Oryctolagus cuniculus: one gene and its partners. The protein of the gene in region 2 interacts with the protein of the main gene of each other region in a biochemical or structural test. Links are inferred from orthologs where the notes say so. Each region holds a gene or a part of one and is shown on either strand. Other genes may lie near its edges.

Region 1 (4,023 bases), on a different chromosome or scaffold from region 2:
CCTTCACATCTGAGGAATTAACTAACTCTGGGAAACATTTTACAAGCATGCATCTGTACCAAAAATGTCATTTTGATTCTTGTTATTTCCAAAACAATACAGTATAACGGCTATTTACATGCATTTACACTGTGTTAGTTATTGCAAGGAATCCAGAGAGGAGTTGGTGTACATGGAGGGTGTGCTTATGTGCAAACGCTACACCACTTTATTAAAAAAAAAAAAAAAAAAAAAAAGGGATTCGAGCATCCTGAGAGCCTGGTATCCCGTGGTGGAGGCCCTGGGACCAGTTCCCCAGGGATACTTTTAAAGAGAACACAAAACCCCTCCTTGTGCGCTTTAAGGGTGAGGTCCAGGCTATTACTGTTGAACACCCTGGACAAGGGGCTTGTGCAGGCGCTCCGCCCCGGGCTCCGGCACTTCTCACACCTCCTCACCGTCCACCTGGACGGGCGCCGGCACGGGGCGGCGGACACCGCGCTCCACACCACGACCGCCTGCCCGCACGGCTCCCGGCACCCGCGGCGCTTTCCCGAGTTCCGGGACTGCCGCCTTGGAGCTGACCTGCCAGTGCGGCAGTCGCCGTGCGGTCACTGCGCCCCACACCCGCGCTGCGCTGACCTTCGCCGCGCGCCCGCCCGCCCCGTCGGGCCTCCGCGCCGCCGCTTTTCGTCACCGTCAGCGAGCGCGGCAGTGGCTCCGGTGGGCTCTTCCTTCCGCTCCATGCTCTTCCAGCTCCTCTCGCCTCCCGGGGTTTCATGTCAGCCTGCCACACACACACACAGACACACACACACGCACACACACGCGCGCGCGCGCGCGGCCGGGCCAGGCCGCCGCGCCGCCTCCGCCCCTCGCGGGCCGCTTCCCGCCCCGCCCGCCCCGCGCGGCCGCGCCTGCGCAGAAGCCGCCCTCCGCCTCCGCCGCCCTTCCTCTCCCCGCCGCTCCTCCCCGGCCCCGCCCTCCTTTCTCTCTCTCTCTCTCTCTCCCTCCCGGTCTGTCTCGGGTTTCACTACCCGAGCGCTGCAGGTAGCGAGCAGCGCCGCGGTTTCCTCGCCACCCCGCCCCTCCCGCCTCCCCTGCCCACCCCTCCCCGCGCCGGGCTGGTGGAGGATGCAGCGGCTGCCGGGGCTGCGTCCCAGGCAGCGGCCCCGGCGGCGGCGGCTGCGGTGGGGGTGGCCGGAACTCGGGTGGTGAGCGAGCGGCGGCGGCTGAGGGAGCGGCGGCCGCCTCGGCCGCTTCCCCCGGGCTTCCCTTCCTCCCGAGCGCAGGAAGTTTTCCGCGTCCGTGCATGTGTGTGCGCGTGAGTGTGGGTGTGCGAGGCGAGCCCGGGGCGGCGTTTGTGCCGGCGCTGGGCTTTTTTTGCCCACTTGGCGCTCCGTAACGCAGGCGGCTCCGCGAGTCTGGGCTGTGGCCCGGGGAGGGGGCGCGGCGGCGGCGGCGGCGGCGGCGGCGGCGGGCTCTCTCCTTTTGTTGTTGTTTCCTCCGCCTGGGGAGCTGAAGGGGGGACGCGCCTGGGTGGGGCGGCTCGGAGCCCGGGCCTGCTGGCCCCCGGGGCTCCCGGGCGGGCCGCGCAGGCTGAGCGCAGCGGGCTTCAACATGATGGCCGCCGAGGCCGGCAGTGAGGAGGGCGGCCCGGTGGCTGCCGGAGCCGGAGGCGGCGGCGGCGGCGGCGGCGCGGCCGCGGGCTCCGGTGCCGCCTACCCGGTGGTGTGTCGCGTGAAGCTCCCCGCGGCCGCCGCCCCCTGCCCCGGGCTGGTGGAGGCCGGGGCGCTGGGTGGCGGGGCCGCTGTGGGGTCGGGGTTCCTGGGGGCCGGGTCCGTGGCGGGGGCCCTGGGGGGCGCGGGACTGACAGGGGGAGGCGCTGCTGGACCTAGTGGGGACATGGCCCTCCCCAAGGGGACCCCCTTGCTGCCGGCCGAGACCCTCGGGCCGGGCGGCGGCTTCCCGCCTCTGCCGCCGCCGCCGCCGCCTCTGCTGCCCCCGCTGGGTGCGGGTCTGGGCACGGTGGACGAAGGGGACTCCCTGGATGGACCAGAGTACGAGGAGGAAGAGGTGGCCATCCCGCTGACGGCGCCGCCGACTAACCAGTAAGTGGGCTGTGCGGTTGCGGGCTTGGGGGAAGACGCACCTTGTTCTCTGGCGGCTGTGATTTGTTGTGCAGAGTTGGTGGAGCTGCGGGTGTCGCGCGTAGGGATTTAACTGGAGCGCTCCTCTTCCCGACAGGCGGGCTCCCGGGGCGTCTTTGTGTGTTCATGGCTCCTCTGGGAAGATGTAGTTTTTAAGATGGGACGCATGGGAAAAGTGTGTGTCCAGTGAGAACCGGATATGGTTGTGTGCCCTGCAAATGGGTGCCCCAGGATTCGCCAAGCCTGCCCGGAGCCAAGGCAGTCGCAGTGTACATGGACTTGTGTGTGTGTGCGCCCTGATGAGTTAGTGTGTAGGGATAGCGTGGAGAGAAAACAATCCATTGACCAGAATGCTTTGCTTTTGTGGCACCGACTTCTCCAACTTCTGTCTACGAAGGCAGAGTGATGCAGCGAAGTGTTGATCCCTTAGGCGAACGTGGGTCCGGGAGAAAGAAGAGTTGTGAGAGTTAGGCGTGTGATGAAGGACTCAGGTTCTGAGCTGGTAACGTGTTTCGTAGACTGACTTGGTTGATGGACCTGTAATGCTTTTGTAGTTCAGACGCTCGAAGTACAGTCTTCATGCGAAACAGATTTTAACGGCGCTTCGCTTCAGAATTTTTGTTGGTGGCCAATACGGTCTTCTATTTGAAATTAATTTTGACATTTAGAATATGCAGGGCATGACTTTTTAAATATAACTTAAATGTTGGAACAGGAAGGGACACTAGTAGGCAAAACGTGATCTGTCACATCAGTCTTAAATGATGTTTAGGATTTCAGCAGCCTTGGTGAGCATCAGGAAAAAAACATTTGGTTGGTATGTGGATGGATGGTCACTCTGGACAAGCCAAAGGTGTTTTTTGTTTTGTTTTGTTTTGTTTTTAATACTTTGGAGGATTTAGAAAGACTTTAAAAAGTGATGAGGAGGGCTTGCAGCTGTGGTGTAACAGGTAAAGCTGCCACCTGCAGCAACAGCATTTCACATGAGCCTGGTTGGAAACCCAGGTGCTTCACTTCCAATCCAGGTCCCTGCTAATAACCTGGGAAAGCAGTGGAGAATGGCCCAAGTCCTTGGGTCCCTGCACCTACATCGGAGACCTGGAGGAGGCTCTTGGCTCCTGGCTTCTGCCTGGCCCTTGTGGCCATATGGGATATGGGGAGTGAACCATTGGATGGAAGATTCTCTAGCTCTGTGTCCCCCCCCCCCCCGCAATTCTGATTTTCAAAATGAATCTTAAGAAAAAAGTAATTAGGAAAATTAGGAAAAGATGCTGTATTACTGACACATTAATTTTTTTGTTTGATTTTATTCCAAGTTATTTCATGTGTGTGTCTTGCAGATTTCTTGGGAATGTTAAAAATTGGTTTTTTAGTGCTACTTGCACACCTTCGAGTCTTTTTTGGAAAAAATGACAGGTAAATATTATGTGCACACTTAATATTAAGTACTTATTGCTAAGGTTTTAATAAACTGTAATTTTTCATATTAAAAGAATCTAGTCTTATACCAGTTCATAACTGAATTGATTTAGGCCTATTTAGGATATTGTAGTTCAAAAAATTTTTTAATAGATTGTTATCTAGAGCAATTTTAGCTTACAGCAGAATTGAGTGGAAAGCAGAGTGTTCTTGTTAAATTTTTAATAATAAAGATGAGTGTGTACTTAGGAAAATATGGATTTGTGAGAAGTCTGTTCAGTGAGATTTTCATCATTTTTTTGTATTTAGGAGTAAGAATAAAACTTGTACGTCTGTGTATATGACAGTTGTTGATGTTCTAAAAGTACCCTCCATGTCTAAGTATGCTTTTAAAATATACTACTTAGAAGTGCAAATTTCCTTTTTTTTTTTAATCTTAGATGTCAATCTAGAGTTACTGGAGGCAATATAGTAT
Region 2 (4,256 bases):
ACGCAGGCAGAGTCCAGCAGTTCCCTTGAGCCTCCACGCAGGCCCCCCAAGCTGTCCCCTCTAAGTACCTCTTTCTGTGCACTTGGCCAAGCAACTCTGTTTCCGCGGGAGGGGGCTGGCTGACCCTCCCTGGAGCCTAGCATCCAGCCCTGCCAGTTGGTTCGCTTCCTAGGACTTCCTGGGATTGACAGGCCTTCCCTCAGCCCCCAGCCCTTGGCTCCCCTGGGCTCACACACGCTGGCTCTAACAGGTTTCTTTGATCCCCAGTGCCATCGCCCTCGTGGTCCTTCCATCAGCAACCCCGGCCTTGCCCTGCTTCTCAAGTGGAGCCCTCTGACTGGACCCCAGTCCTGCCACTCCCTGCCCTAGACTGCCCATGGTCCTAGCTGCCGGAAGCTCCACACTTCTGGACCTGGCTGTACAGGGCAGTGTCTGAGCTGGGGGCTTTGCTGCCACTGCCGGTCGTGACACCAGGTTCCGGAAAGGTTGGGCCCTGGGGCTTGGGAGCAGGAAGGGGCTTTGTGCTCCGAGGCGGGGGTACAGCATAGTCATCAGTGGCAGGGTTGTAGGGGAGCTCATAGCCCTCCTCCTTCAGCCGAGCCTGGCACCACCATGCGTCCTTGGGCTCCTGAGGCAAGTCGTACAGGCCCCGGGGCGGGGCCGGGGCCAGGCCCTCCGGCTCATCATAGATGGGGTCCTCTTTGGTGTCTGTCACCTTGGCCTTCAGCAGCTGCTCTTGCACGTGCTCGTACAAGTCCCAGTAGAGACGCTTCTTCTGCGGTCCCCCCTCCCCTGCCCCAGCAGCAGTGCTGTCCAGGGGATCTGAGTACAGGGAGTCCTGGGAGGGGCCAGGGGGAACACGGAGGGAGTCTAAGGGCTCTGCATACAGGGCTGGGGGATTTCCCAGGGGCTCCTGGGGGCCAGGAGGGGAAGCCAACTTCCCTTCCAGCACCTCTCCTTCCTGAGAGTCCGCCCTGAGAACCTCGTGCCCCTGGCCAGCCTTTCCCTGGACCTTCTGCCGGTGGATGGCCGTCTCCACGGCCTGAAAGATGTCATTCCCCTGTGCTGTCTGGAAGGTGAACGTTCCAGGGCCCGAGGGGCAGCGGCGACCGGCCTCAAAAGAGAACATGACCTGTGCAGGGCGTGAAAGGAAGGAAACACATTACCTTGGGAGGGGGCAGGGGAGTCAGGGGGCGTGAACTAGTGCTAAGGTACCTGCAGAAAAGGCAATGCCGGCACCGGGCTGGGTCATGAGGCAGAAAAGGAAGAGGATCCCAAGAGCAGAGCTCCCCACCTTCCTGCCCTGCCCCGCCTCACCCACAGCTGCCCTGGGACCCAGGAAGCCCTCCCCCGATAGTTCTCCCAGACAGCGGCTGCACCTTGTCCCGGCCATAGCGACGCAACAGGGTGTAGGGCCAGGAGAGGAGTGGCTCCAGGACCTGCTTCTGGGCCCCCACAGTCAGAAGAGTCAGCCTCTCGGCCTCTACCCTCAGCACGTAGGAGCCATGCAGCCCGCAGCGCTCGGCGGCCTCAGTCCTCTGCACGGTTACCCAGAACTGGGACCCTGGAAGGAACGCACCGTTACACTAGCACCTGCTAAAACAGAAGATGGGCAGGGGTGGGGACCACGAGCAGTGTCCCAGCGCTCGCGGGAAGCCGAATCCCAGGCTTCCTACCTCTCCGCGGGGCCCCTGCACCCTCTAATCCCCGGCTCCCCGGAGGCCCTCCTCCTCCCCACTCCATCGCTCCCAGGCGGCTGCAGCACCTTCCCAGGTGGGGCTGTACAGCGAGTTCTCCAGCATCTTCAGCGCAGAAAGCTGAGGCGGGTTCGGGTTCTCGGCGGGCGCCTGAGCCCAGCTGCCTTTCTGTTGCAAAGAGAGCGCACCCGCCGCCACTCTGTCATTCTCTCAGCGTGGCTGCGGGGGGTCTGAGGTCCCCAGGTTCTGGTGCTGCTGTGACTGCCCCCCTCCCACACCGCCCCCTCAGGTCCAGGGCCGCTAGCCCGGGGGGCCCCCTCACCGGAAAGGCATTTCGGCACAGCGACTGCACCCAGGCGGCGCTGGAAGGCGCATCGGCCGCAAGCAGGTGCGAGCGCTGCGCCGTGTCCAGGCGGAAGGCAGTGGCGCCGGGCTCCGGGGGGCTCTCCACGGCCACGGGGGCCACGCTCACGCATTCGGCCAGACGGATCACCTTGCAGTCCAGGCGGCGCGAGCCCCCTCGGCCACCTCCAGAGCTCGACCCCTTGTGGTCGAAGAACTCGAGGCGCGCTACGCCGTGGGGGCTGGCCGGGTAGAGCACGGCCCAGGTCTTCCTCCACCTCTAGGGAGAGAGCGAGCGACACTGGGGAGGGAGCCGGCGTGCGCGGGTGGCTCCCGCGCAGGCCGATTTAGGGTCTGGGGCTTCGCGAGGAGGATGCCGCTCGGCCTCCCCGGGGCCCGGAGGCGCCACTGCGAGCCTGCAGACGCCTCTCCGGAGCGTGCAGAGCAACTTCGCGGGCACGTCACGGGACTCTGCGGCTCTCACGCGCCGCTCGCCCCCTCCCTCCCGGCCCTTTCACTCACTTTAGCCCCGTTGGGGTTCGACACCCCCTGCCCCCCGCTACCTTGGTCCCAAAGCGCTGACTCTGCAGGAAGAGCGGCCCTTCCATCACGGCCCCGTCCATGGCCCCCGGCGGTTCTTTCCGCGCTTCCTGGCCCTGCGGGCGTGAGGCGGGGCCGGGGGCGGGGTCGAACCGGCCAGGGGCGTTCCCGCCGGCCCCCGCCGGCGGCACTGGGTGGGGGGGCAGAGGAGCCAGGAGGAAGGGGGTCGGGGTCCCCAGGTAAGCCGGGCGGCGCAGCTCCAGACCCCTACCCACCCCTCTGGGGGCGTGCACAAGTGGCTCCGGCGAGTGAAACTGTGGTTCCAGTCAGACCGCCTTGGCGCCCGCGTGCCGGGGCTGCGTGTGACGTCACAATCCCAACATGACATCAGAGACAAGGCCGTGACATCACTTCGAAACAGCAATGAAGGGGCCCAGTGGGCCCGCAGGGCTTCAGTTGTCCTGCGGGCCCGCCCCCAGGCCAACCCGAGGGAGACTGTTTATCTCCGCTGAGCCAGGCGGGGAGGGAGGCTGGGAGCTGGGGCAGGAGGCTTCGCCGCCGCCCGGTGGCCGCTTGCGAGTCCAGCTCCCTGACCGCAGCAGCCGGGCCTCCGACCTGCGGGAGAAGAAAGCTTCATTGAGTCGGCTCGAGGGTCGGGGAGGGGGAAGGGGCGCGGCAGCGGCCAGCTTCACGGGGGAGGGGAGGACCCAGAGGCGAAGAGGAGGGAACTGGCCGGGGAGGAATGGAGGGAGAAAGCGGAATGTGGGAGGGCTCTAGGGGACGTGGGAGGGACGACCGGGGAGGGGGAGGGAGGGTCCGGCCGCCCCTGGCCGAGCACTTTTTTTTTTTGAAAGTCCTAGGACTGCTCTCCGGGACCAGAACTCTTCTCGAAGCCCCTAGGGCCCCGCTCAGCCAAAGGTAGGGGCGGTCAGGCTGCGGCCCACGCGAGGAAGAGGCCTTGGGGATGGAGAGCAAGGTGGCGGGACCAAAGGAAAGGGGATGGCGTGGGATGGGGCCGGGGAAGCCAACCAGCTGAGAGTTATTGTCAAAGCGGAGACACGAGAGGAGTGCAGAGAGGAGGCTCACTCCTGGGGGGTGCGGGCGGCAGGGTGTTCCAAGTGGGGCAGCGGGGAGGGGCCTAAACTGGGGGCTCCCCGGTGAGGCCCGGTCCCTGGGCCCCCAAGCAGGAACGTCCCCAGAACAAAGCTGTCTTGTTGGGCCGTTTGTCTGGAGTGGGAGAAGCATGTTCGGCGCGCCCCCCTCCCGCTGTGCAGCGGCCGTTCTCAGCCCCCCACGGAGAAAGCCCTGGCCCCGGGTTGCCTGGTGACAGCCACGGTGGTTTTGGCAGGAGGCTGGGACAACCCCACCCCATCCCCTGCCCAGCTTGAGGCCTGGCCCTGCTGGGCCCCTTGACCCTGCAGGGCATCGGAGAGCCTGTGCCCCGGCGAGGCTGTACAGCCGGCTGGCCCTGCATTCCTTCCTGTCTGCCCTCCTTGTTGGGGGAGTCAGCCCAGAGCGGGCTCAGGATGAGGTCCCATTCCTGGGCTCCCACGTCTCAGAGGCCCCAGGGCCTGCCTCTCTCTGCACAGCGCTGTGCCGGGTGGCTGGCTAAACGGGGTCACCAGGGTGCCTGCCGCATCTGCTCCCTGGCCCCCATCAGTCACTCTCCTCTCTGGT
Region 3 (3,967 bases), on a different chromosome or scaffold from region 2:
CCACCCCCAGCCTAGTATCTGTGAGATCCAGAGACAGATTCAGGCTGAAATTCTCCCCTGCCCGAGAAAGAGCATGCGTGCAGCTCCCTCAGCTGTCAATGCTCTACCTAAAAAACAGGAATGCAGATCTTTCCCTCAAGGGGTTGCTTCAAATGCAGTCAAGCCCCCAAAGCATCAGGCACACAGTAGGTGCTCAGTGAAGGTTCACTCCCCTCCTTTCCTTTGAGGAAGACCCTCCACAGTAGGGGGAGGCAGCTGAGGGCACGGGGCTGGGCAGAGCGGAGAAGAAAGAGAAGTTCCCAGGCGAGGTGGGAGGGCTGGGCTGGCCTCAACCACGCATGGGGGATTTCACCAAAAGGGAACTGGGACTCTGGGCAGCAGCCGGAAACCACCATCCTGCAAGAGTTCCGGCTTCTCCTCAAGGCTCCGGCCGGGCAGGGGTGGGGCAGGGGAAAGGCTAAGGTCGGCAGGTGAGTCCCAGTGCCATTGGGCCCCTCGCCAAGACCAGAGCCGTGGCTGCGGGCATCCACCCCGCACCCCGGGTGCCGGCCCGTCGGCCCTAGCTGGCTCCCGAGGGCACCGCTTCTCAGCAGTACTGTGGTTTCCTACCTGCACTGAACCACCCACGCCAGCCTCTGCACAGGGCTCCCAGTGCCACTTGCTTGGCCTGGGCTTCAGCATTTTCAGGAGCTGGCTCCGTGCCCAGGGGCAGCTGAGGGCAGAGGAGTCCGGGTTCCACAGTGTGGCAGACCGGAAGCCCCCTCCCAGGTCCTGCAGGGTGGGGCATCGGGCCCTCTCCCACCTTGGGCAGCCCAAGGGTGGGAGTGCACCCTGGCTCATCCTTCCCCAAACTCCGAAGGTCAGGCCATTTCCCTCACCACACCAGCCCCAGGTGGGTGCAGAGGAAACCCAGTGCACACACAGATGCTCACAGGCTCACACGCATTCACCCAAAGCCCAAACCACACGCACATTCTCTCTCTCTCTCTCTCTCTCTCTCTCTCTCTCTCTCTCTCGCCCACGCTCACTGCTTCACACCCACTGGGGAGCAGGAGCTGGTGGAGGAGCCCAAGGACCCCCAACCTCCTCCCCCATGTACCTCTTCCCTCTCCAGGGGGCTCTGAGAGATTGGGTAGGGATGAGATTGGGGGGCGGGGTGGCTCAGAGGCAAGGTGCCCTGGACTGTTGGTCCCTACTGTGGGTCCTGCCAGTCACCGACTCCCAAACCTCCCTCTCCCCATCTGTGAAGTGGGGTTAGCAGCCTGCTTTCCCATCCCCAGCACAGATGAAAAGGTGCCAAAGGCCTCAGGATCCCTGAAAAAACCACTGACTGGAGGGGTGGCCACCTGGGTGTGGCACCAAGAAAGGTGGGGGACAGATCTCACCCCTGCTGATCTCCCCAGCATGGGTCCTACAAGAGATGTAGGACATCTGTTTGTTAGGTGCCCTCTGTGTGTGGGTCCCTCTCTTGTCCCCCTCCATGTTTTTGAGAAGGCAAAGGACAGAGCCCCTTACCCCCTCCAGGACCCTCAGCAAAACCCGCATTGCAGGCCAGGGTCTCACCCGGGGCCAGCAGGCAGGTGTAGCCAGCTTCTATCTCCATAGCTCAAACAGAAGGAGGCGGCCCAGAGAAGCCTGACCTGCAACAGTCACACAGCAACTGAGGACATAGTCTTGCTAAGAGCCCCCCACTCCAGGATCCCAGATCATGGAACATCAGCACCCCCTCCTCTGTCCCGCACCCCTCCCAAGATAAGGACTCCAAATTGCAGCAAAGACCGGGCCCCCGGGGTGGGGGTGGGGGGCTGCGCCGGCCACCAGCCCCGAAGCAGCCAGAGCCCAGCTCGCCTCTCCGCCCTCTGGTTGCCATGGACACAGCCCCTCCGCGCCTTCGCGGTCAAAGGCAGGATTTCCGTCGGGGCGGCCAGCAATTCCCGGATCCCGAGAGGAACGCGGACCGAGGCCGCCGCCGCTGGCGGGGAGGGGGCGCCGGGAGAGGCCGTCCCTGCGGAGGGCGGGGACTTCCCCAGGAAGCGCCCTGCAGGAGTCCCTGCGGCCGGCCCCTGGCGCCCACCAGTGCGGGGGCGGGCAGGTCTGGGGGCCGCAGGCCTGCGGGCCTAGGCTTGACCCCCGACTTCTGACGATGCGGAACAGAGGGTACTTACTGGGCCCCTGAATGGCCCCGTTAAACTGCGCGGGCCAGAACTCGCTCTCCCTGACCCTCTTCTCGAATGTCCCCGCACCCCACGGAACTCCTTCCCAAATGCTGCATTTTCAGAGTCCCCGCACTCTCTACCCCAGGCCTCCCCCGACTCTCACCCCGCGTTCCAAATCGCACCCTCCAGGCCCCCACTCCGCCTCCCCGCCAGACCCCGCCTTGGGGGTTCCCAGATGCCCCGGGCCCTGCCCCGCAGGTTACTCCCAGGTCTCTGCGGTTTCCCCCCTCAGCCCTTTTCGAGGTGAGGTTCCCTTGGCCTTCAACTTCTGTAGCTTGTCTAAGTTCAAGTGTCCCTACTGCCTCCAGCCCGCCCCCTCCTCTCCCAGACCTGTCCCAGCCCCCACCTGCCGCGGCCAGACCTACCTGGTGCCAGGGGAGCCTGATTCCGCCAGCCCCCGGCGAGCCAGCCGGGGCTCACGCAGCTACGAGTGCCGACGTGGGCGAGGGCTGGGGTGCTGCCCGCCTCTGCCCGCCGCCCCCTCTGGACAAGGGAGGAGGAAGCCGCCTCGGACTTCTCTTATTGCAGCCGCGGGCGGCGGTGGCAGTGGTGGCGGCGGGGAGAATTCGTTGTCACGCCCCAGCCCCGACCCGGCTGCCCGCAGTGGGGAGGGGCCCCCAGATCCAGGCCCGCCCGCCCTCACTTCCCGCCGGCCCCTGGTTGTGGGGGTCGGCTCTCCCAGGCCTCTCCCCGCACCCCGGCTGCTTTCCCAGCCCCTGCCCCAGGCAGAGCTTTCCCGATGGTTCCCGACCGACACCTGTGCTGTGGGCATCCCTGGGGTGGGGGAAGATGGGCTTTTCTCTGCCACAGGAAGGCCAGTTCCTCCTGGGGAAGCCCAGGAACAGGTCCACTCAGCCAGAGGACCTCAGACTGCTGTCACCGGAGCCGCTGCTGTGGATGCTGTCTCTGTGCCTGGGGAGGGTAGGGAGCAGCCAGAGACTTCCCTCGGGCCACATCCAGTGGGGGAGGGGTGTCGCTCCCCACAGCTCTGTTTTAGAGAAAGCGAAGCCTCCTCTTCTGTTACAGTCCCAGCCTTTGCCGCTAGTAGTGAGTCCTGACCCCTGGCCTGGGGTTCCACCCCTGCTTCCACCGTTGCCTCTGCAGCCTCAAACCAAGCACTAGGGTCCCATGCTGTGGTGCAGCAGGTTAAGCTGCCACGTGCCCGGCCAGCACCCCTTCTGGAAGTCCTGGCTGCCCTGCTGGGAATTCAGCTCCCAGCTAATGCACCTGGGAAAGCAGCAGATGATGCACCCAGGTGGGAGACCAGGATGGAGTTTCTGGCTCCTGGCTACAGCCTGACTCAGCTCCTGCCACTGTGGCTATTTGAGGAGTGAGCCAGCAGATGAAAGATATCTCTCTCTCTCTCTCTCTCTCTCTCTCTCTCTCTGTCACTCTGCCTTTCGAATAAATAAATAAATAAATCTTAAAAAACAAACAAGGGGCCGGCGCCGCGGCTCACTAGGCTAATCCTCCGCCTAGCGGCGCCGGCACACCAGGTTCTAGTCCCGGTCGGGGCGCCGGATTCTGTCCCGGTTGCCCCTCTTCCAGGCCAGCCCTCTGCTGTGGCCAGGGAGTGCAGTGGAGGATGGCCCAGGTGCTTGGGCCCTGCACCCCATGGGAGACCAGGAAAAGCACCTGGCTCCTGGTTCCTGCCATCGGATCAGCGCGGTGCGCCGGCCGCAGCGCGCTGACCGCGGCGGCCATTGGAGGGTGAACCAACGGCAAAGGAAGACCTTTCTCTCTGTCTCTCT
Region 4 (3,500 bases), on a different chromosome or scaffold from region 2:
CGTGGAGTCACACATACGTGTTTTGGTTGTACGAAGGCTGTTAAAATGTTTGTAAATTAAGGTGCTTTGATATTAGAAACTCAATTTGCTGCTTTCAGAATTATTCAGCTTCTCATCTTCTGATTATTTCCTCTAAATCATATAGAATAGATCAGACATCCTAATTATGCAAATCTAAGTGACTGCAAAATCAGTATAAAACTTCTTGAAGTATTGAAGGATGGTATGGAATGGATTTTCGGATTTCACAGTACAGCAATCGTCCCCACCCACCCACCCTGATGAAGTGGAGATAATTGGCTGATGTTGATCAGAAATTCAAATTGTAATTTCAGTATAAACTGTCCATGAAATCACTTTCATCAAAGAGAAACAGAATGTTACATGGGTTGTGGTGGAGGCCTCTGAGAGTACCTTCCTTAGATGAGCCTCACTGTGCCACTGCAGGAAAGAGGAATTTGAGCTAAATGTAACCAAGGTGAACTGTGGTACCACCAGGCCCCTCCCAACTCTGGGAAGAGTGGGGCGCTGTCTGAGTCAAGGGCAGCCCGAGAAAGCCTGGATGGGTTGGGACTTGTTCTTCACTGCTGGTGACAGAGCCGTGACCACATGTATTCAAACAAGTCCCCGGAACAGGGAGACGGCCAGCTCTGGGCTGACATGACACTTCTAGAAGGTCACCAGGACCCCGGTCACTTAGGTTTCTCCCTCTGCTTTCCCCAGTGTTCGGTGTCCGTGGCAGCTGGGACTCTTTATCTTCATTTGATTCTAAGCAGAAAGCAGGACCAGGAAAGGGAGAGGTTTTGCCAAAGCCCTGAACAGCCACGGTGCACATCTGTGCAGAGGGCTGGAATGGTTGGAAGTGCAGTCGTTATGCTGGGCCAGTCACCCCCCACATAAAGCTAGGGTTCTGTTACCAGATAGAAAGAGGAACGATGATGAGGTGTGCATCTAGCAGATGCCGGCCAGAGCCTTGTTCACTTCCTGCCATTCTCAGAAGGCAGGGCCCTCCCCCTGAGCCGTGTAGTCATGACAAAGCACTGCAGAATTTTCTCCCTCGACTCCCCCTCTTTCCAGCTTCAGAAATGAGCAAATCCAAACGCCATTTGCTGTTAGAAAAATGAATCACAACATGAATATGAGCAAGAAAAGCTAAACCTACATTTTTTTTTCCTAACCAATATTCTCTCGTAGGTTCCAGAATCTCAGCTTTTACCAGGACAGAGGTTTCAAACTAAAGGTATGTTTCCATAGCAGTGTTGTTCATTTGTTTTTTTTACTGTGAAAGCCTCTATAAAGTGGTTTCCTAGATGATTTTACTTGCATTTTTATTGTGGGAATATACAAAAAACGGAAAATTTACCATCGTTGCCATGTTTAAGTGTGCAGCTCAGTGGCAGGAAGTGTGCTTACACTGTTGTGTAACCGTCACCACCATCCATCTCTAGAACCTTCTCGTCTGCCCAGATGAGAACTTTGTATCCATTGAACACTGACCTCCTGTCTGCCCATACCCAGCCCCTGGCCACCCCCACCTACTGTCTGTCTCTAGGAAGTTGAATACTGTAGATACCTTGTATAGATGGAACCATACGATATTTATCTTTCTCTCTCTGCCTTATTTCATTTGACATAATATCTCCAAGATTCCTCCAGTACACAGCTTGTATCAGAATTTCTTTCCTTTTTAAAGCTGAATAAGATGCCATTATTCCATACATACATGCACACATACACACCACATTATTTTCCATTCACCCATCCCTGGGCACTAGGCATCTTTGGGTTATTGTGAATAATACTGCTATGAACACGAGTGAGGTCTCATTTCTTGAATATAGAACTAGAATGGTTTGTGATAACAGATACCATAATTAGTGTGTCCCAGCATATAGACCGTGTGAACCCTGAGTGTCTCCAGTTAGCAAACTCCATGTCCTCATTCCGGTTTCTCCTGTCATTAGCACTTCAGCTCATTCTTTGCACCTGTTGAGGGTTTGTGAACTCATTTCTGCTGCTGAATCCTCCAAGGTCTTTACTTATGTTCTTCCTTTTTAGATCCAGAGGAACAAGGGGACATTGTGGTGGCCTTGTACCCCTATGATGGCATCCACCAGGACGACTTGTCTTTCAAGAAAGGAGAGAAGATGAAAGTGCTGGAGGAGTAAGTGCTCCCGGGGCTGGGGTGATTGCTTCTTTCCTCAGGCTGCTGGGGCCCGCAGTCTGTCCCCTCATTTTGCTCGCAGTAGCAGAACCATAGCCAGACTGCCTGCTTGGGGAACGGGAGGCCTTGCATCCCCCTTGTTGCACTGTGTAGGACCTACTCCCTGCAGGGAGCATGACCGAGAGGTTTCCCCTGGAGTCCAGCTGAGCACCTTTCAGGTTTCTGTTTGCAGAGGCTCTGGTTTTTGCCTTATCCCACGGGGCCACCTGAAGAAGTCTGGGTTGTGCAGCCTATTCTTTAAGATGCCATTTTTATTTCATTGCATTGTGTAGATTTGGACTGGGTATGTGGGCCCATTTGGTTTGATTTCCTGCTTAAAAGATTTATTTATTTATTTGAAAGGCAGAATGACACAGAGAGAGAATTTTCCATCTGCTGGTTCACTTTTCGAGTGACCACAGTGGCCGTGCTGGGCCAGCTCAAAGCCAGGAGCCAGGAACTCCATCTGGATTTCCTCCTTGAGGGCAGGGGTCCAAGAACTTGGGCCACCTTCCACTGCTTTCCACGATACATTAACAGGGTGCTGAATTGGAAGTGGAGCACTCAGATATGGGATGCCGGCATCATGGGCTGCAGCTTTATTTGCTGCACCACAACCCTGGTACATAATTTGTTTGATTTCAAAAGGGACTGTGCTACTGTAGCTGTCACTTCAGAAAAGCCATCACCTTAAACACTGATCATTTCTTTATGGTGAGTACATTTAAAATCCTCTGTTCAGACTGTTCTGAGACATCCATGCATGATTGTTAACTATATTCACCTTGCTGTGCCTTAGAACACCAGTGCCTGTCCCTCCTATCTACCTGTGACTTTGTAGGTATTGGCTGACCTCTCCCCACATCCCCAACCCCTATGGGGGCATCTCCTCTGTGAAGATACTTGGACGTGGTCATTTCCTCCACCCTCCATGCTGGTTCTCAGACATGTGGTCCCTGTCAGACCACAGGGGTACAGGGCGGTACTCCATGGGCCAGCACTTGCCACAGTGGTTAGGACACAGCTTGGGACACCTGTATCCCATATCAGAATGCCTAGGTCCACTCTCAAGACCAGCTTTCCTGTTACTACATATCCAAGTAGGCAGCAGAATGGTTCAAGTAGTTGAGTCTCTGCCACCTTTGTGGAAGACCCAGATTGAATTCCCAACTCTTGGCTTTGGGCTGGCCCAGCTCTGGCTTTGTGGTCATTTGGAGAGTAAACCAGTGGATGGAAGAGCTCTCTCTGTGATTGTGACTGTGTCTGTGTCTGTCTCTTTCTGCCTTTCAAGTAAATA
Region 5 (3,500 bases), about 87 Mb from region 2:
GATCGCAGGAGGAAGAGTGGTAAATGCGGAAGTATTCGTGTTTTATGCAAAGTCCTTAGCCTTCAGCTGCGTTAGTGGAAACGTAACTCCTGCAGCCTTCTCCTGCCTCCTTCAGGTCGCTTGGCTGGCATGGCGACAGTTTGGAAGGGCTGTGTTCCCTTTTCACTTGCTGACGTCTGCCCCCTTCTGTCTTGCAGAGAAGTGGGAGATTAACCCTTCAGAGCTGACCTTCATGCGGGAGCTGGGCAGCGGGCTCTTCGGAGTGGTGAGGCTTGGCAAGTGGCGAGCCCAGTACAAAGTAGCCATCAAAGCTATTAGGGAGGGCGCCATGTGTGAGGAGGACTTCATAGAAGAAGCTAAAGTGATGATGTAAGTCACGCGCAGCCCGTGGCCCTCCCGTGCCCTGGTGACTTCTGTTCTGTGGTACCTATGTGTGTGTGTGTGTGCCTTCCTTCCCAGGAAACTGACACACCCGAAGTTAGTCCAGCTTTACGGCGTTTGCACCCAGCAGAAACCCATCTACATCGTCACCGAGTTCATGGAGCGCGGCTGCCTTCTGAATTTCCTCCGGCAGAGACAAGGTCACTTCAGCAGAGATGCGCTGCTGAGCATGTGTCAGGACGTGTGTGAAGGCATGGAGTACCTGGAGAGAAACAGCTTCATCCACCGAGACCTGGTAACCAGGACCCTCCCGTGTGCCCGTTCATTGGCTGAAGTGCTGTGCAGCACAGGGTCAGCTCTGTGCTGGGAGGCATTCATGCCCATGTTTGTTTGTAACCATGTTTCACTGTATGTGTGGTTTTAAGATTTATTTATTTGTTTGAAAGTCAGTGTTGCAGAGAGAGAGAGGAAGAGAGAGAGAGAGGTATAGAGAGAGGAAGAGAGAGAGAGAGAGAGAGAGGGAGGGAGAGGTCTTCCATCTGGTGGTTCACTCCCCAAATGGCCACAATGGCCAGGGATGGACCAGGCCAAAGCCAGGAGCCAGGAGCTTCCTCCTAGTCTGCCACATGGGTGCAGGGGTCCAAGCACTTGGTCCATCCTCCACTGCTTTCCCAGGCCATTAACAGAGAGCTGGATCAGAACAGGGACAACCAAGACTCGAACCAGCACCCATATGGAATGCCAGCACTGCAGGCAGTGGCTTTACCCATTATGTCACAGCACTGGGTTCCACCATTATTTATTTATTTATTTTTTTAAATTTGAGAGTGAGAGTCACAGACAGAGAGAGGGAGAGACAGAGAAAGAAGTCTGCCATCCACTGGTTCACTCCCCAAATGGTGCAACAACCAGAGCTGGGCCAATCCAAAGCCAGGAGCCAGGAACTTCTTCTGGGTCTCCCATGTGGGTACAGGGGCCCAAGCCCTTGGGCTGTCTTCTTTTGCTTTCCCAGGCCATAGCAGAGAGCTGGATCTGAAGAAGAGCAGCCAGGACATGAACTGGCACCCATATGGGAAAGCCAGAGGCTTAGCCTGATGTGCCACAGGGTCAGCTCCAACCATTATTTTTAAACTTTGTAAATTTAACTCACCCCATTATCTTAAAGGAAAGATCTTTATTAAATGTAATGATTCGTGTAGTTAAAGTCTCCAAGCAACCCTCCTGACATCAGTTATCTGATCTCCAGAAGAGTGCTGTGAGGTCTGGCAGATTTTATCTCATCACTGTCCCCTAGGCAAGAAAGGCAGCTTTGGGGACGTGAAGTGGCTGCCTACTGTAACACACAGGGAAGTTAGGCTTGGCTTTGGCCTCTGACTAAATCCCAAATTGTTTCCCACCTCTCACACTATAAACAGAACCTTGATGAGAAATCCTTTGGTTCATTTTCTTTGTCTGTAATCCTCGGGCAAAGATGGAGACTCACGTGAACTTCTGACCCTACCAGGAAAGGAGATCTGTTGGTGGCACTAATTCATTGTGATGCACACTTCCTACTGTTTCTCCTCCCACTCTTTCTCCTCTGCTCCCCCTCCCACTCTTTCTCCTCTGCTCCATTCTCCCTGCTTTTCTCCACGAATGTGTCTGTTCTCATCCTGTCAGTAGCACCTTCACCAAAGCAAGCGTGGCTACCCTCTGGATGGTCTCGTATTCGAGTTGCACTTTTGTGGTCAAGCACAGACACAAGTCTTCCAGAGCAGCAGCAAAGCATTTTTTTTTTTTAAATTAAGGATCACCATCGGTAGATGTGGTTCTTTTCTTTAAGATTTATTTATCTAGTTGAAAGGCAGAGTTACAAAGAAGCAGAGGCAGAGAGAAAGAAAGAGAGAGATCTTCCATTTGCTGGTTCACTCTCCAAATGGCCCCAATGGCCCGGGCTGAGCCAATCCAAAGCCAGGAGCTTCCTCCAGACCTCTCGTGTAGTCGCGGGGCACAAGCACTTGTGCCATCCTCTACTGCCTGCCTTCCCAGGCCACAGCAGAGCTGGATCGAAGTGGAGTAGCCAGGGCTTGAATTGGCACCCACATGGGATGCTGGCACTGCAGGCGGCAGTTCTACCCACTACGCCGCAGCTTTGGCAACTAGATAAGGTTCTAATAAATATTTCACAAATGTAAACTCATTTTGAGTCATTATAACAACCCTTGGAATAGATATTATGATTCTACAAATAGGATAAGATAACTGACCAGTGTCAAGTCAGTTGTGGATCCAGGGTTTGAACCCAGGGAGTTTCACTCCAGAGTCTATACTGTAACCGCTGTGCTGTGTCATATCTAGATTTAAAGTATAACAGGGAGCTGATGACTTGGAGATGGAAGACTTGGTTTCCAACATGTATTTTGGGACAGTTACATAGTCTTTCTGATACTCTGTTTCCATATCTGTAAATTGTGGGTGTCGCTCCCCCTCTTCGTGGAGGAACGACACAGGACCCTGCGCTGTTTTTCGTCTGTTCGGCCCTCCCCGGGTTTGCTGCTGGTTCTTCCCGGGTTGGCTACTATCCCTTCCACCTCCGTGGAAGGGCGGTTCCCCCTGGCCACATTCCCCACTTCCGCAGGGGAGCGGCACACCGCCGGCCGGTTCTCTCGGGGGCTGCACAGGTGTTCCCTCAGATGTTCCCCTTAGATGTTCCCGGTGCATGCCGTCTCTCTCCTCCTTTATAGTCCTCCTCCGCCAATCCTAACTTGGCTGCCCACACGCCGAGTACGCTGCTCTCCAATCAGGAGCAAGTCCTACAGTTTATTGGTTGAACTGGAGGCAGCTGTGCGGAAGCTGTTTACTTCTCTCCCAGCACCATATTGTGGGAGAGCAGATGCATAGAATAAGTCTTAATTCCAGTAACTCAGTCCAGTCCGGGCCGCTCCCCACAGTGGGTATAATACTTTTTTGCTCAAAAGATTGTTCTAAACATCATATTGTACTGGGGCCAGTGCTGTGGCATAGCAGGTAAAGCTGCTACCTGCAGTGCCGGCATCCTATATGGGCTCCAGTTCAAGTCGCAGCTGCTGCATTTCCAATCCAGCTCTCTGCTGTGGCCTGGGGAAGCAGTACAAGATGAC
Region 6 (3,930 bases), on a different chromosome or scaffold from region 2:
CTTCAGGTCCTGTGCTTTTTTCAAATCGCACCTGAGCCAGCACATCTCTGGAGAAGATGAAAACCTACTTATCCAGAGTCACAAAAAGCGATAGATTTTCACATTCGGCTGGGCCTAGGGTGGACCCTACAACCTAGGTCACGTTCAGCTTGCTGCGGGAGAGACGGGCAGAGAGGCGCCAACCGCTAAGTATGGTCTACCTGCAATGTCCTTAGCAAGGAAATCCAAGTTTGCTTCTCTCTACTCAGCCATGCTTTCTGCGGCCAATTCCGAGGGCACACGCACCCTGACGACTTTTCTCAACAGTCACTCACTTAACAAATATTTGCGCAGGGACTCAAGGCCAGACATTGTGCAAGGCAGACAAGACAAAGGTGAACCAAGACAGACGAGATCTCTGCTCTCTTAAAAACATACTTCTCGTGGAGGATGCAGGGGGAGGGAACAGGCTTGGGAGGGCATGGCTGGAGCTGGGTAAGCAAGGGGCGCGCCGGGGGGCGGGTGAGTCTTGGGAGATTAATTTGGAGGGGCTGGCGGAATCCGGAGCGGAGGGAGCCCTCAGGGCCACGCCCGAGAGGCATTTTCCTTGCAGCCACTCAGAGCCCGTGGCTGCGGTTGTCCTAGCCCACTTAACCCCGGGTCAATCCAACCTTCATACCCCCTATTGATATCAATCAGGACACTTAGCCACCTGGAGTCCCTCGGCCTTTCAGGTCACCTAGGGCCTGCGTCATCCACTCGCCTCCAGGACTCATCCTCTGGCCGGGCTCCCTCGGGCCGCTTAGACCCGGCCAGGTCACCTCAGTGCCACGCCTCCATGGCCCGCGATTCGCCCGGCACGTTACGCTTTGTTTCCCAGAAGCAGGTTTTCAACCCGCCGCTCCCTCCTCAGCTCCAGCTGTTTTCCTGCCAGCGCTGGGAGGCCCAGCGGCCGCAGCGCCCCCGGCGGCGGAGGACCGAGGCCCAGGAAGGGAGTGCCCGCCGCCCCCCACCTCCTCAGCCTCCTCCCGGAACGCGGGAGCGGGCGCGAGCGGCGCGCGCCCGGACCGCCCCGACCGTGCTCCTGATTGGCTGTGACCCGTGACGTCACGGGGAGGGCCTCGGCGGCCGCAGGGAGCCGGAGCTCCCGCGCGTGCGCAGACGGAGCGCGCTGAGCGGAGGGGGGTGGTGGCCGGTCGCTTGTCCCGCGTCCGCCATTTTGTTGCTGTGGCTATTGGGAACGGGCTGGTCCAAACTGCCCCGGAGGCACGAAGCTCTCTGGAGTCCGGTGCTTCGTGTGACGGCGTGGGGGGTCCGTGAAGACTTGTGGGGCTGCGGAGCCGGTGCGTTCTAGGCCGGGAGTCACCGGAGCCACCCCCTCCCGGCCCCGGGACGCCAGGCAGCCAGATAACCCCGGGGCGGCCTCCGCTGCGGCTCGGCGTCGCCCGCCCAAGGCTCTGCCCCGCATCCCCCCGGGCCGGCTCTCTGTGTGAGGCGGCCTCGGAGCAGGCGGGCGGCGGCAGAGGATGCTGCGGGCCCGGAGCCCAGAGAAAGGTGCTGGCCGGGCCGTGTGAGCGCGCTCCGCGGTGTGCCCAGAGGCCCTGCCTCGGCCCCAGCGCCGTCTGCCGAGCTTCCAGGCTTCCAGGGCAGGCGAGAGCAGCCGCCACCCCGCCGTCGGCCCGACACCATGTCTTCGGCCAGGTTCGACTCCTCAGACCGCGCCTCCTGGTACATGGGGCCGGTGTCTCGCCAGGAGGCGCAGACCCGGCTCCAGGGCCAGCGCCACGGCATGTTCCTGGTGCGCGACTCCTCCACCTGCCCCGGGGATTACGTGCTCTCGGTGTCGGAGAACTCGCGGGTCTCCCACTATATCATCAACTCGCTGCCCAACCGCCGCTTTAAGATCGGGGACCAGGAGTTCGACCACTTGCCGGCCCTGCTGGAGTTCTACAAGATCCACTACCTGGACACCACCACCCTCATCGAGCCCGCGCCCAGGTAACGCGAGCTGCCGCCCTTCCCCGGCGCGCGACCCCCGCCACCGCCGAGGAGGGAGGGGAGGGCATGTCCGGGTGAGGGGCTGGAGCCCGGTCCTCCCCAGCCCTCAATCCAGAACCGCATTGTTCCCCAGAAGGCGTTCCGAACGGGAACGGTTAGTGTCAGGATCTGGGTCACTGGATCAGAGGGCTGCGTGTAAAATCGCGGGAGCGGCGATCGTATAGCTGAAACTCACGCCTTTTGTCATGTTTTCTGCAGTACTAATGGGGTTTTATTTATTTGTTCTTAAAATTTTTTTTTGGGGGGGGTGGGACCATAAACTGCTTTTGAGAATTTGAAGATAGCCAGAGGGTGTCTCCACCCGCCAGAAAGTGCCGGTACACGGAGGTTCACCCCTTGCAGATCTCCAGGTTAAGAACCCCTGGGCTGCAGCCCTTGGGTAGTCGCCAAATGAAAATGCTTTAGCGTTTAGCAGCACAAACCTGTAACTGAAAGAAGTGTCGGCTGATGGTCTGGTGCCAAGTTTGAAGCAGCCCAGACACACCTGTTTCACCTTACATGAATGACAAAGAAAAGAGAAAGTGCGACGCCTTCAGCGAGGGCTTTTTGGGGGGGGGGGGAGTTGGGGGGTTGTACCCTCTCCTCAGGTGGATCATTCAATAGGCTCACGCCTTAGTTTCTGTTTTTTAAAGACAAGAACCCGCAGTGACATTACCGAGCATAATGCGCTATTTTATTTGATTGTTTTCTTTAATTGGTTTAAGCGGGTTTTTTTAGCGGTTTATTTTGTTTAAAATTATGCCAAATTGGAATTGAAAAAATTGCCTAGATTTTTTTTCAAAGGATGTTTCACTGCTCAGTTGGTTTCCTAAAACATCTGTTTAAAAAGAACGGGATGTTGATGTAGTTTTTTTCCTGGAGTGAGGTGTTCCTGACTTTATAGATTGCCTAATGACAAGGTATTGTGCTAAACTTAAAACATTAAGAGCTATTATAATTAATTAAAAACACCAACTGAATGCATAAGTGTTGCTTCTGTGAAATAGAGAAGAAAGCAAGCCACAGTGGTATATTGACTGTAAGATTACTTAGCTAAGAGAGAAAGTCATATAAATCAAATACCGTATAACAAAGGCCACGACGCCAAGAATCTCATTGGTCAGACTCCAAATCCTAACCTGCTAGGAGATAAAGTCCGAACGAGTGTCATTCCAGTGTAAGAGGTGGATGCGAACCTTACCACTGTAATATGGTATTTGTAATACAAGTAAATCCCTTCTCTAGTTTGTACAAGTAAACTGCCTCTATGAAGCTGTATTGTGTGGTTATAACGAGGGGACAGTTGCTGTAATACAGCTGTTGGTTTGAAAAAGTGTGAGTTAATGGGTGAGCTTCCACCAGAGGGAGAGAAGGAAGTACGCTATGGTGGGCTTCCCACTCCCCACAAAACCCAGATTTCCCATAGGCATCTTCCCAGCGTCGGCGCTCTCATCCATGCCTTACGCCTCTGTACCTTTGGTTGTTCATTGACAGACTCCACCCACGCTCCACCTATTGAAATCCTACCTGTTGTCAGTCCCCTCACAAATAATAGGGTGTTTCGCCCTGATCCTCCCCCTCACAATCCACTTATATAACTCTTTCTCTTTCTCTGTGCCCTCTGCCCATGGTTGCTGTTTTTTCCTGAGTATCCCAGTACTGGTCAAATTAGATCTGGGCTTGATTTACTTTTTTATGCTGAATCTTTTTTTTAAGATTTTTTTTTGAAATTCGGAGTTACAGAGAGAGGGGGAAAAGACAGAGACCCTCCATCCTCTCTGGTTCACTCCCCAAATGGCAGTAACAGTCAGGGCTGGACCAGGCCCAAGCCAGGAGTCTGGAACCCCATCTAGGTCTCTGTTGTGGGTGGTAGGGGCCTAAGCCCTGGGTCATCTTCCACTCTTCTCTCAGGCG
Region 7 (4,113 bases), on a different chromosome or scaffold from region 2:
CATTCAGTTACTTGTGACAGTCACACATTTGCTCGGCTCTGGATTCCAGGTACAAGCCCTTAAAGACATCATTCTGTGGTGTTACACGGGGGGTTATAAAGCAGAGTGCATCTCCAGGGAGAGAGGTACGGCCAGGGCGTGGGGCTCTCCTGTCACTGGGAATGGAGACCAGGACAAGTCTTCAGGTCAGGTGCAGCCCACAGTGACTTCCGGGAGCCTCAGTCACCGTCTCCGTGGAAACCCACGCCAGGTCTCGTTTGGACCTCAGGATGACCTCGTAAGGGAAGCAGCCCCGAGCCCCACGAGCAGGTGAAGGAGCCAGGTGGGTCCCCTGGGAAGGTGTCGGCGGGCAGGGGGGAGCAGCTGGCAAAGGTGCCGGGTCCGAGATGAGACTCCCAGCGTCCAGACGGCCCCTGCCCCTCGCAACACGCGCTCTGAGCGCGAGGGCAGCGTGTCCACCGCGGCACCCAGCACCGCCGGACGCCTGCTGGGTGCGTCTGTTGGAGTTCTGATTCGATTACCCGGATTTTAGCCAAACTGGAGGACGAAGACGTGGAGGAAGTGAGTGAAGCGTGCATGGGCTCACAGGAAAAGCAAACGCCACCCCCCGCCCCCCCACTAAAGAAAAGTGAGGGCGCTGAGCAGGGTCAATGGTGGGAGGGACCGATGCCGCCGGTCAGGGCCGCCCGCCCGCGCGAAGCCCAAGCGATTAGCCCCGAAGACCCTCAGGGCCCCACCTGCTGCGCGTCCAGGGACCCCAGGGGCCCTCTCCTCGCGAAGCCGGTGCCGGTTCCCAGCCCAGCGGAAGCCCCTGCGAGACCCCTGGCGCCCCCGCGGCGGGGGCAGCGTCCCGAGGCCTGGGGCGCACGGCAGAGAGGAGGAAACCCCAGCCCGCTTCCGCGTCCGCACTCGGGGAGCCGGCCCCGGGGCGCAAGGCGACGGCGCACTCGACGGAGGCCGGCCCCGGGCCCGGGGCGAGCGCTGCTCCTGCCCGGGCGCCGCCCCTGCGGCCCTGTCTTCTCCAGCGCCGGGGTCTGCAAGGGCGCAGGGGCGGAGCGCACCGAATCCCCCGGTTTCCAGGAAGGAATCCGACTCCGGTTCTCGGAGAATCCGATCCACAGCTTGGCCCCTGCTTTGGCGCCCCGCCGGCCAGCCCGACGCGAGGCCGGCGAGAGCACCGGCTCCGGAGAGCTACGGCCAGAAGCGCTTCAGCCGGGAGCAGCGCGCAGGACGCCTCGGCGCCGCGGGACTACAACTCCCGGCACGCCCCGCGGGCTGCGCCGACTTCCATTGGCCGAAGCCTCCAGCATGCCAGCCCGCGTCGACCAATGGGATGGAGGAGAGAGGCCTGGCCAGGATCCTCGGAGGCCAATCGCAGTACAGGGGAGGCGGGCGCTTCCTTACCACTCACCTTGCACTCGGAAAAGTCGCCTTTAAAAGGTCGTCCCGGGCCGGGCTCCTGCGAGGCACTGAGGCCAGAGCCAGAAGGTGCGACGGGGTCCCAGGAAAGCGGCGCCGGGGGCATCCCAGTCCACGCGAGGCGGGCTCCGGACGGCGCCGGGGGGCGGGGCCGGGGGCGGGGCCTGGCCTCGTTGTGGAGCGGCTCGTAATCCATCATGGCGGCCGCGGGGGTCGGCCACTGTCCCTGAGCAGCGCCGAAGTCGGAGCCGGTTCCTGGGTGCTGCGGTTGAGGAGCCCCTTCGTGGCCCACGGCCCCTACCGGCGGGGGGCAGGCGGGGTCCCTCGGCGGAGTTCGGGGGATGTGACTGCTTGGCGGCGGCGGCAGCGTCCGGGGCCGCGGGACGGGGGTGTCTCGGGCAGAGACCCCCGGGCTCGGGGCAGCTGAGGCGGCCAGGCCTCCTCTCTCGTCGGCCCGTCTCCCGCCTTCGGGCCGCGCGAGTCTTTCGTCTCTGCAGCCCCGCCGCGGCTCTGGGACGCCCCCCCCCCGGGGTGGTCTCTGTTCGCTCCGGACGTGGGACGCCCCCGTTTCCTGAGGCGTGGAGAAGCGTCGCCCCCCGAGTAAGCCGCCCGTGCCCCGCCCCGGAGTCGCCCCCCGCTCCCGCTGCCGGCCCCAAGGCTGGCCGCCGGAGACCCCCATTCAGACCCGCTGCGTGCTGTCAGGTGGCCTCCCATGGCCCGCCAGGTTGCCCCCGCCAGCCTCTGATGCCCTGACTTCTTCCAATGTCACCTACGGCCCCCTTGGTCTCAGCCCAGCCAGAAACTTCCATGCAAAGGAAGAGCCTGGATTGGTTTCACAGGCCTTTTAAAAAGCGGACTTAAAAGTTGCTGGCCATGCATTCCGTGCCGAGCGCGCCGAGATCCGGCTGACCCGCGCGTCCTTTTCCGGAGGGCCGGGGAGAGCGAGGAGCCGGAGCGCAGCCGGCCCGGCCCGGCCCGGCGGGAGCTTTGCTGGGGGACAGGCGCGGGCGAGCACCCCGGGGCCCGCGACGCTGCCGGAAGGACTAAGGGATTGTCGCCCTGCGCCCCACCGCTCCGGGAATAGTTCTGCTTAGGTGCGTCTTCCCAAAAAAGAAAAAGCGTGGTTCACTCAGTGGAGTATCCTTAAAGACGGCGAAACCTTTGGGGAGTGTGGGAATCACCTTACTCCCCAAAGCCCGAGGCTGGGAACAGTCAGCGGGCCCCCCGTGTCCATGCGTGGAGCCCCCGGCAGGTGCCTGCCCGCGACTGCCCGTGCGGGCCGCCGTGGCGTGGCGGGCATGCGCTGAGTGTGGAAGGCCCCGCCGAGGCCACCGACCGTTCCGGAAGCTCCTGGACCCTCTTCTGGAAAGGGGAGCCCCGCGCTAACTTTATGGGGCAGCAGCCTGGAAAAGTTCTTGGGGACCAGAGAAGGCCGAGTCTGCCCGCCCTGCACTTCATCAAAGGAGCCGGCAAGAAGGACTCGGCGCGCCATGGGGGCCCGCACTGCAACGTCTTCGTGGAGCACGGTGAGTGTCGCGGGCGCGTCCCGGCGGCTCCGCGGGTGCCCGTGCCTGCCGCGTCCGCGGGTGCCCGTGCCTGCCGGCTCCGCGGGTGCCCGTGCCTGCCGCGTCCGCTGGGCGCTCGCGGTGGTCCCGGAGCCTCGCGTGGAACCCGCTTAGTCCTGGAAACGGTGTCCTGGTGCCTGCGTGCCCCCTGCACACCGAGCCGTGCGCCGCGTCCCCTTGGTGCTGACCCGGGGCCTCCGTTTCCCGACCAGGTGGCAGTTAGCTGGCTTCTTCGCGGCGGCTCCCCGACTCGCGTGGGTCCTTAGCGAGCCCGCGTCTGTTCTCACGGTTTGGGAACCTCAGGTCTCAGTTGACACGGAACCCCCTGGCCTTTAGGAGGGCAGTGGGGCCCGCAGACGCTCCCCGGCTCTGCGGGAGAAGGCAGCGTTCGGGGGCTGAGCCCGGAACTCCCCGCGGCCGGAGCCCGCGCCCGCTTCTCTCCCGGTGCAGGGGGACGCTGGGCGCTCTGGCGTTCCTGTGGGCGTCTTCTCTTCACCTCCAGTGATTCTGTGGGGGTGAAGCAGGGGTCGCCTGGCCGCCGTCTGAAACAGAGGTCGGACCACTGAATCAGCTTCGTTCGTTCGTGTCCTTTACCTTAACATAGTATCCTGGGTGGGAGGGGGCGCCACCTGTGATGCGGCATCTCCTGTGGGTGCAGCGTCGGTTCCTGGCTGCTCCACTTCTGATCCAGCTCCCTGCTCATGGCCTGGGAAAGCAGCAGAGGACGACCCCCGGGGCCCCTGCCACCCATGTGGGAGACCCGGATGAGGCTCCTGGCTTCAGCCTGGCCCAGTGCTGGCCGTCGCGGCCATCTGGGGAGTGAACCAACAGCTGGAAGCTCCCTCTCTCTGTTACTTTTTCAAAATAAATAAATCTTTAAAAAAAAACACCTTAACTGGGGGGCAGGCGTCATGGCCCAGTGAGTTAAGCGCCCCTTGGGATGCCCACATCTGTATAGGAATGTTGGGGTTTGAGTCCTAGCTGTCTCCAGGTTCCGGGTTTTTGCTGCTGATGGGTGTATCCTGGGAGACGGCAGACGATGGCCCAGGTGCTTGGGCACCTGCCACCCACATGGGAGATCCAGATGCAGTCCCAGCTCCTGGCTTTGGCCTGGCCCAGCCTGGGACTG

Evidence for each region.
Region 1: the proteins of DOK1 (region 2) and RASA1 form a complex in vitro, tested with the Homo sapiens proteins (2 studies listed by BioGRID, with this or other methods). The link is inferred for Oryctolagus cuniculus from reciprocal best matches to the Homo sapiens genes DOK1 and RASA1.
Region 3: the proteins of DOK1 (region 2) and FGR form a complex in vitro, tested with the Homo sapiens proteins (2 studies listed by BioGRID, with this or other methods). The link is inferred for Oryctolagus cuniculus from reciprocal best matches to the Homo sapiens genes DOK1 and FGR.
Region 4: of the proteins of DOK1 (region 2) and LYN, one has a biochemical effect on the other in vitro, tested with the Homo sapiens proteins (2 studies listed by BioGRID, with this or other methods). The link is inferred for Oryctolagus cuniculus from reciprocal best matches to the Homo sapiens genes DOK1 and LYN.
Region 5: of the proteins of DOK1 (region 2) and TEC, one has a biochemical effect on the other in vitro, tested with the Homo sapiens proteins (2 studies listed by BioGRID, with this or other methods). The link is inferred for Oryctolagus cuniculus from reciprocal best matches to the Homo sapiens genes DOK1 and TEC.
Region 6: the proteins of DOK1 (region 2) and CRKL form a complex in vitro, tested with the Homo sapiens proteins (2 studies listed by BioGRID, with this or other methods). The link is inferred for Oryctolagus cuniculus from reciprocal best matches to the Homo sapiens genes DOK1 and CRKL.
Region 7: the proteins of DOK1 (region 2) and ABL1 form a complex in vitro, tested with the Homo sapiens proteins (5 studies listed by BioGRID, with this or other methods). The link is inferred for Oryctolagus cuniculus from reciprocal best matches to the Homo sapiens genes DOK1 and ABL1.

Annotation. Positions count from the first base shown.
Region 1 is NC_091445.1:10,198,827-10,202,849, forward strand, and holds the start of RASA1 (ras GTPase-activating protein 1), read left to right. Parts: upstream 1-1,223; 5' UTR 1,224-1,599; coding exon 1,600-2,090; intron 2,091-4,023. UniProt on the Homo sapiens protein: Inhibitory regulator of the Ras-cyclic AMP pathway. Stimulates the GTPase of normal but not oncogenic Ras p21; this stimulation may be further increased in the presence of NCK1.
Region 2 is NC_091433.1:128,406,402-128,410,657, forward strand, and holds the start of DOK1 (docking protein 1), read right to left. Parts: upstream 2,801-4,256; 5' UTR 2,663-2,800; coding exon 2,603-2,662; intron 2,320-2,602; coding exon 2,020-2,319; intron 1,866-2,019; coding exon 1,766-1,865; intron 1,565-1,765; coding exon 1,380-1,564; intron 1,133-1,379; coding exon 383-1,132; 3' UTR 1-382. Other genes in the region: LOXL3 (lysyl oxidase homolog 3), read left to right, coding at 3,003-3,231, 3,434-3,497. UniProt on the Homo sapiens protein: DOK proteins are enzymatically inert adaptor or scaffolding proteins. They provide a docking platform for the assembly of multimolecular signaling complexes. DOK1 appears to be a negative regulator of the insulin signaling pathway.
Region 3 is NC_091438.1:143,942,568-143,946,534, reverse strand, and holds the start of FGR (tyrosine-protein kinase Fgr), read right to left. Parts: upstream 2,801-3,967; 5' UTR 2,582-2,800; intron 1-2,581. UniProt on the Homo sapiens protein: Non-receptor tyrosine-protein kinase that transmits signals from cell surface receptors devoid of kinase activity and contributes to the regulation of immune responses, including neutrophil, monocyte, macrophage and mast cell functions, cytoskeleton remodeling in response to extracellular stimuli, phagocytosis, cell adhesion and migration.
Region 4 is NC_091437.1:81,210,349-81,213,848, forward strand, and holds part of LYN (tyrosine-protein kinase Lyn), read left to right. Parts: intron 1-1,194; coding exon 1,195-1,240; intron 1,241-2,058; coding exon 2,059-2,164; intron 2,165-3,500. UniProt on the Homo sapiens protein: Non-receptor tyrosine-protein kinase that transmits signals from cell surface receptors and plays an important role in the regulation of innate and adaptive immune responses, hematopoiesis, responses to growth factors and cytokines, integrin signaling, but also responses to DNA damage and genotoxic agents.
Region 5 is NC_091433.1:41,336,061-41,339,560, reverse strand, and holds part of TEC (tyrosine-protein kinase Tec), read left to right. Parts: intron 1-197; coding exon 198-369; intron 370-459; coding exon 460-676; intron 677-3,500.
Region 6 is NC_091452.1:29,679,627-29,683,556, forward strand, and holds the start of CRKL (crk-like protein), read left to right. Parts: upstream 1-1,130; 5' UTR 1,131-1,666; coding exon 1,667-1,977; intron 1,978-3,930. UniProt on the Homo sapiens protein: May mediate the transduction of intracellular signals.
Region 7 is NC_091432.1:233,356,083-233,360,195, forward strand, and holds the start of ABL1 (tyrosine-protein kinase ABL1), read left to right. Parts: upstream 1-1,313; 5' UTR 1,314-1,328; coding exon 1,329-1,488; intron 1,489-2,181; coding exon of another isoform or gene 2,182-2,280; intron 2,281-2,426; exon of another isoform or gene 2,427-2,809; coding exon of another isoform or gene 2,810-2,945; intron 2,946-4,113. Other genes in the region: uncharacterized protein, read left to right, coding at 2,182-2,280. UniProt on the Homo sapiens protein: Non-receptor tyrosine-protein kinase that plays a role in many key processes linked to cell growth and survival such as cytoskeleton remodeling in response to extracellular stimuli, cell motility and adhesion, receptor endocytosis, autophagy, DNA damage response and apoptosis.